Astyanax mexicanus: one gene and its partner. The protein of the gene in region 1 interacts with the protein of each later gene in a biochemical or structural test. Links are inferred from orthologs where the notes say so. Each region holds a gene or a part of one and is shown in the gene's direction. Other genes may lie near its edges. The genes, in order: siah2l and dlst.

The links.
Region 2: the proteins of siah2l (region 1) and dlst form a complex in vitro, tested with the Homo sapiens proteins (2 studies listed by BioGRID, with this or other methods). The link is inferred for Astyanax mexicanus from reciprocal best matches to the Homo sapiens genes SIAH2 and DLST.

What each region holds. Positions count from the first base shown.
Region 1 is NC_064424.1:17,165,555-17,169,480, reverse strand, and holds the start of siah2l (E3 ubiquitin-protein ligase Siah2), read left to right. Parts: upstream 1-907; 5' UTR 908-1,138; coding exon 1,139-1,633; intron 1,634-3,926. UniProt on the Homo sapiens protein: E3 ubiquitin-protein ligase that mediates ubiquitination and subsequent proteasomal degradation of target proteins.
Region 2 is NC_064421.1:13,690,841-13,694,766, reverse strand, and holds the start of dlst (dihydrolipoyllysine-residue succinyltransferase component of 2-oxoglutarate dehydrogenase complex, mitochondrial), read left to right. Parts: upstream 1-1,527; 5' UTR 1,528-1,636; coding exon 1,637-1,699; intron 1,700-3,926. UniProt on the Homo sapiens protein: Dihydrolipoamide succinyltransferase (E2) component of the 2-oxoglutarate dehydrogenase complex. The 2-oxoglutarate dehydrogenase complex catalyzes the overall conversion of 2-oxoglutarate to succinyl-CoA and CO(2).

The sequences.
Region 1 (3,926 bases):
AGTGTTTCTCTCTGGGCTTCTTTTTGAATGTGGCATTATAGAGGGAAGTCAGTCAGCAGAGGTCATTTACATATATAAGTTAATGATAGCCTGATAAATTAAGAAATCCTATCTGCATCACATTTAATCCACTGATATTTTTTTTAATTTAATCTTAAAGTAGTTTTGAAACCAGTATTTGTACTTAGGTATAAAGCTTCAGTTGATACTTCAGCTTCTACAGAAATATTGTAAACCCTAATCAGGCCCATTGCAACAAGGCAAGCAAACCAATCCTTTGCCTTGAGGCCTGAGCTGGCCTGGGGCTCCAGACAACAACTGTTTGTTAGCTACCTGCCTGGGCGTCCATGCTAGTAACGAACTGGAACAGGGGTCCATTTTGCTTGGAGCCCCCAAATTCCTTACCTATATTATCTATAAGCCTACTATCTGTACCACTAATTTACCTGAGTAATGAATGCCAGTACTTTTAATACTTTTGTTTATATGATCACTCCAAAGGTAAATCTGATAAAGGGATCCGAACTGAACTTCTCTCATTTTATGATCACATTTATTTTACAGCATGAAGCTTCGATGAGGGCAGGCAGTAATTATAACTAGGTTAAATTTGTTTGTGAAAATATGCATTCTTTTTTTTTCTCTGATACGGCATGCGATCAATAATACCAATAATACCGACCGATACACTGGGTGAAACCGATCCGAGATCAGTGGAGAGAGAGAGCGAGCGGCTGTTTGTCACGCTGATCCGCTCCGCTCACTTTCACTCTCTCCGTCACTACAAGCCGCTGCGTGTAAACACACACAGCCGTTACACAAGAGCCTCCATCCGCCTCGCTATTGGCTTAGGCGGCTGTCAATCACAGCGCTGTCAGCCAATGACCTCGCTCCTTTTTCTCAAACAGTGGCGGCCATGTTGTATCCGCGGGTGTGTGTGAGTATGAGTGTGTATGAGTGTGTGACTGAGTGTGTGTGTATGAGTGTGTGTGTGTGTTTGGGTCTGGGAGAAGAGGAGCGTGTGTTGTACTACGAGCTGCCGCCGCCGCTGCCGGTGTGTGTGTGTGTGAGCACCGCTCTCATACCAGCCGAGTCGTGGGTTAAAACTGTCGGTTAACCTTAGTTTGCCCGCTTCGCCATGAGCCGTCCGTCCTCAGCGGGAGGAGCGGGCGGAGGACTGGGAGCCGGTAAGGCGGGAGGAGGGAGTAAACACGGCGGCTCCGGAGCAGCAGGAGGAGGAGGAGCGGCGGCAGCTGCCGCTGCTGCAGCCGCTGCGGCCGCGGCAGCAGCAGCAGCGGCGGCGGCTGCTGCGGGGGTTTCGGGCTCCGTCTCTGGGTCCGGTTCTGTGACTGCTGCGACCGCTGTAACGTTACCTACTGCGGCTGCTGCTGCTGCCGCCGCTGCTGCTGCTGCTCTACCCGGACAGTCGGCCGAGCTGACGGCGCTGTTCGAGTGCCCAGTGTGCTTCGACTACGTGCTGCCGCCGATCCTGCAGTGCCAGGCCGGCCACCTGGTCTGCAACCAATGTCGACAGAAGCTGAGCTGCTGCCCGACCTGCCGCGGGCCTCTCACACCCAGCATACGGAACCTGGCGATGGAGAAAGTCGCCTCCACGCTGCCCTTCCCCTGCAAGGTAAGAGAGAGAGGAGCTCCTGACAGCCCGTTAGAGAGCTTTACCAAGCCTGAGAAACTTCAGCACAGTTTCAGACTGACACGCAGTGCTGTGACACTACTGTACTTTTCACACCACTTTTTGTATAACGTTACTTTATTTCCTATCTATCTACCTCACCAGCTACCTCACTTTTTTGGCTTGGTTTGACAGCGCCCTCACGACTCACAGGAGGAGTGAGTGTTTGAGGAAGTGAGTCTCCATTAGCTCAAGTTTACAACGCTACAGGTGTTTAGAAACGGGAAAGCCTCGGTTCTGCACCCTCTCCTGCTGTTTTAAGGGATGTAAAGGCTCATTTCATGGAAATAAATAAGAACAGAAGTCTCCAAACATTGTTTAGCTATAACAAAATGTCATAATGTACCATTATCCCCCCTCTTCCCAATAAACCTGGACATGCAGCAGCAGAGCAGCCTGTTTATAAATGTGACAAGTTTAAAACGGCAATTTGATTATTTCTTCATCATATCTTTTATGTCGTTGAAGTGAAAGCTTGTTTATTTCCATAATAAATGCTGACACATTTGTAAGGAACATTCATTTGTGGGATGAGCAACAGAGCTGAGTATGTAGCTTGTGCCCATGAAATATCTGCCAAATCTTCTCTGTCATTGCCAAACAGCTTATTTTTACTGTTGCTATTGACTCTTGTTTTGAGCTTCTGATACCACAGGTTTTGATGAACAACTTCAGCATAGTTACAGACACACAGCGCTGACACTACTTTACTAACCACTTTAATTGTGGACCCAAAGCAGCATAGCAGCCTGTTTTGAAATGCGCAACAAGTAAGAACATTTGTGTCTGGTAGATTATTTCTTTGTAGTAACAATGATTCTTTGCAATAAATCGTATATTGTTAAAAAGCCTGTTAATTACCCTATTAAATGTTGCCACATTTGGAAGGAAAATCTTCTCTGTCAGTGCCAAACATCTTATTTTGCTGTGGCTATTGACAATAGTTTTGAGCTTCTGGTACCCCCAGGTGCTTCCAATCAAGCATGGGCCCTGCTACAGTGGTTAATTGGTGTCTGCTCCAAGAAACAGCATGCCTTGTTTGACTGATCTGTATAGGGCTCATGCGATAGAACAACTTCATGCTGGTGTTCCTCAAAACCAAGTTGTGACATTATTTGAAGTGAGCCATAGTACCAGTTCTCTGACACCATGTGGGTGTCAGAGAAAGGCCTCAAAGGGGCTTTCCAAGAAGACAACACCCCAAGAAGACGAGTCAATGACAGAATAAGCTGATTGGCATTGGCAGAGAGGATATGGCAAAGTTCTCATGGGTGCAAGCCATATTCAACATACTCAGCTCTGCTACTTATTCCACAATTGCATTTTCCTTAAAAATGTGGCACAAATTAAAAGTAAAATTATCAGTCTTTCCAGCGGTATAAGATTTTTTGCCAAGAAGCATTGTTACAACTTAGAAATAATCTACTAACCACAAATGTCCTTACGTTTTGTGCTATTTCTAGTACATGGCAATTATATTCAAATCTGTCAGAAATTGGACTAATACTCTGCATAAAATTGTAAGCATTGCTCAACATCCCCAAGTAAAACTAATCCCATCTGATTAGAGCTTTTGGCTGACTTGTTAAATTGTAGTATTTCTTTTACCAGCAAGTGTTCTTGAAGCATATTGCTAGATGTATGCTGCATTATGTTCACCTACTTGGAAATATCCTGCAAAATGTACCAAGGGTCCTAAGATTTAAGCTGTCACAGTTTGGTAAAACATACATCGGAACAGGAACCTTGCCGACCGGAAGCAGACATGAAGGGAGGGCATGACTAAAGTAAATGTTGACTAATCAACTAGTAAAAATAATTAATAGACAGATTAGTTGCATCCCTAATAGTGTTATAAACTTGGCTGCCTTTTAAAATGAGGAAAGCCTATGAACAGAGGTAATAGACACATCTCTTACAGTTGTTTCTGATACATAAACACAACATCATAAGTGAATTTCATGGCTGAAACTAAATAAAATCCAAGAATCACATCAGATAATGGCACCTTAAACAGATGATAACATTAGAACTTACTCAGCATGTTGTAAGATGACCTTAGGAAGAAAATGAGCCAACACTCATTACCCGTTGTCCTTACAAACTTACCATCAACGTTTAAGCCAATTAAAGCCTTTGGTTACAGATTCAGGATCAGTACGTCAGCGCGCTCTTTCAAAGCTAATTGTTACAAAGCATATATTATGTACATTGAGGTTGACTGAGTGGATGATTG
Region 2 (3,926 bases), on another chromosome or scaffold:
GCCTTTACTGCCCAGGAATGGATTACCACTAGATTATGGAGTGGAGCACTGCTGTGAGCATTTGATTCAATTCAAAGAGCATTATGGTGAGGTCAGAATGCTGAATGTCTTCCAAAATACCTCATCCCCAAATTCCCTGTATCTCCACAACTCATCTCTAAAGTATTGGAAGAAGCACCATCAATCTAAAGAACACAGTTTCATTACTCCACAGCATAATACTGTGGGTCATTATACCCCTGTAGCCCAGCGATTCTCAAACTTTTTAGTTTAAGAGGCCCTCTTTGTGGACTGTAAGTGCCACCACTACAGCCCCTCAGCCACACCTCAGGATGTCTGTGGCAGAGACTCAAAAGAACTCGAGCAAAAAATATCTAAATGCGGGTTCTTTAATATATTTACATTGTACTAAAATACATTCATTTCCAATGGGCATATATGCAGCTGAAACAGGAAGCCTAGTGCATCCCAAATTTATCAGCATTAACATTTTAATATAACATTATAGTCATTATCGCTTTTAGAAATTGGGTGTTAGGGAGAGGGTAGTAGCTTTTTACCCATAAATGCTAGTTCAATCTCAGTTCAAGGTGTGCAATATCATCGCATGCAACACTATGGGCAGATTTAATATTCATTTTGTTGCAGTAGTGTATTCTTGAAATGATTATTTATAAATGTTTTGTCTTATCGCCAATAATATTGTTAATGCAAAAATACCCTGTAATATTGTGATATTATTTTAGGGCCATATTGGCCATCAGGGTACAACTTTTTTTGCTGTTTGCAGCAAAATAAAAATTCACACTGTTAACACTTACCTTTACATATCTACTAGAGAAATAATATCTGTGAAGTGTAATTTCTTTTACTTTAGTGTTGGATATATGGAATGCATTCCCTGCTAAAAAAAATCCAGCTTGAGACCAGCTGATCATTGAGAAAAACAATCTCAGTTTTGAAATGCCAAGTTATTATTTTGATATACTATTTTAGTTTTGAAATGCCAAGTTATTATTTTAATAAACTCAGTTAAAATAAATCTCAGTTTTTAAATGCAGAGTTATTATTTAGATTTACTATCTCAGATTTGAGTTACTAAATCATTATTTCGATATACTATCTTAATTTAATTTATTTTACTTCAATCCTGAATATATGGAGTGCATTATTAGTATAATGACATGTTGATTCATTTACTTACTTAATATTATAATCTGGTGGAAATCTCAATTAGTAGTGTGCCATTTCATATCGTATGCAACAATACTGTCAAATAATATTGATTTTGTTGCAGTGGTGTGTTCTTGAAATTATTATTAGTTTTAATTCAATGTTTTGTCATGTCGCCAAGAAATATCGTAATATTATTTTAGGGCCATATTGCTCACACCTAGTGTCCACTAAATTATTAGGCATAGCTAACCTACTGCAGTACAGAACAGGTTGGGCAGCTGTCCACAAACTTTTGGACATGTGAGGGAGTTTTTAGCTTTGGTATAATCCACGCTGATCCTCCGCCCCTCCCGCTGGCTGCTGTTGGTTCGCCCCGGCGTGGTTGTGTCTCTCTGCCGCTTCTCCTGCTCCCTCCTGCGGGCCTTTACCGCTCTGTGTCCGGCAGGCGCGGATTGCCGATATGTTGTCCCGTTCCCGCTGCTTCACCCGCACCTTCGGCCGCTCCATCTCCGCCCTCCGGCAGGTACGTGCGCTGAGCTCCTGCGGTCTAGGGCTGACTGTACCCGCGCTGCTTTCACGGGCAGCCGCTGCTGCAGGCCGGGCGGCGCTGGCTGTAGCTCTGCTAGGCCTCGCCCGCTGGACCAAGGGCAGTATGTCACCGCTGCCGTACCCACCCCATTACCTCGTTATCTAGATAACCGTTTATTAACATAAGTATGTAGATAAGTTAATGGCATTAACACCATATTTATACGCTGGAAACGGCCTTTATTCCTGCAGTTTCTCCTGTGGTTTAGTGAATGCTTGGCTGAGGTCATTGCAGAAACTCTCCCTAAAGGGTCTTCCATGTTGAATGCTAGTTAGCTTAGCTTAGTTTAGCTTAGCTCAGCTTACCTAGCTAGCATTAAACCTTCCTGTCTCCTCCAGTATCTGTCCGTTTACAGAGGTCAGACAACACCGCGTTAGCTAGCTAGCTATCGAAATAGCTTTATTAGGATACCAATGTGTCTACAGTAACGCTGTCTATTTGTTTATTCTCTTTAATTTACTGTTGTACACCGTGTTTTGGTTTGTACATTAGGCTAACACTAATGCAAATGGCTGGTTTGCCAGTTTCACATTCGCTACAAACTGCTGTAGTTATGTCTAGTAGTTGTTTTAGTTATCCTAACCTAACTAATTAGCACTGTTTTTATTTCAGACCTGACACCTAGTTTTTAAATACTAAGCTAAACTAAAGTAGTTAAGTTGGGAGTCAGTATATTTTAAAATATGCTTTGTAAAGTTTGTGGCTCCATTTTCCTAGCTAGCATTAAGCTAACATGGCAAAGTCCTCCTTGTACACCTTGGTAACCAAGCTAGTTTCACTACTGTTGCACTATAAACTCACTAACACCGTTTAACACATTTTAATAGACCTTCTCGTAATATGTCATTATTCCGAGATACTAAGTCGCAATTATTAGATACTAAGTCGTTAATTTAAGATATAATCTTTTTACATACTTGGTCATTATTTTGGGATTCTATCTTAATTTCCAAAATACTTAGTCATTAGTTTAAGACACTGTCTTAGTTTTACGATACTAAGTCATTAATTTGAGATACTAGCTTGGGTTAATGATACTAAGTCGTTTTTCTAGAGACTAAAGTCATTATTTTAAGCTGCTTTCTTAGGTTTTAAGAACCTCAAGTCATTCATTTGAGAAACTGTCTTATGTGTAAGATACTAAGTCATTATTTTACTTTACTATCTTACTTTTAAAGGTACTATCTCAGTTTTAAGAGTCTAGGTCAGTATTTTGAGCCTTTACATAGCATGTGTACAATCTGTTATTACCTCAAAATAATGAGAACATCTCAAAATGATCGCTTAGTATCTCAGGATAATTACATTACTTTTACTTTGCATTAATTTTGTTGCAGTAGTGTGTTCTTGAAATTATTTTTTTTTTACTTTTATTCAAAGGTTAATTGCTGATTACACTAGCTAGTTATCTTCTGTAAACACTGCAGCATTAACTCATTTACTGAGTGACCTTTCAGCTTTCTTAATATATATATGCCATTAAGCTGCCTAGTCACAATACTAGTCACAAACACTGTTATTGTTATCAATTTATACAACTGATATAATCATAACATTTCTTTTTTCTTTTTTTTTTTTTTACAATTACAGTCTTTTAACAAGCAGTAAACATCTGATTATTAAGAATATTTGGACATTCAATTCAAACGAAGTTTTAACACTCAATATAATAAGATTTAATAAGAAGTTTAAAAAAAAATGTAAGAAGTACATTGCGTTAATGTGATCTCCCCATTAAATGAACACAGTGGATCTTCAGGTCTGCACAAATTATTAAGGCCATGTCTGTTTGTTCTACTTTTTTTTATTTAAATTTTATTTATTAAACTACATTATATTATATTATTAAACAACTACTTTCTAATCTTAAGTGTTATCCTTAATGTAACTGTCACAATAATTGTTATTGTACAATAAATGGACATGACCCTATTAATTTTTGCTGACCTTGATATTGTCCATTTTAATTTCTTGCATGACTTGTTTACACCCTGTAGTGGCCTGTAGGTTACAGTTTTATTTTCTGAAATAAATCATGTGTCCATTTTGAGGTTGGTTTTATGGCATAGGGTAAACTGGCACACAATTTGAGAAAAAGGACTGAATTGGAGACCATATTTGTTATTCAATGTTTTTTTGGGAAAAACCAATGGCAAAAATT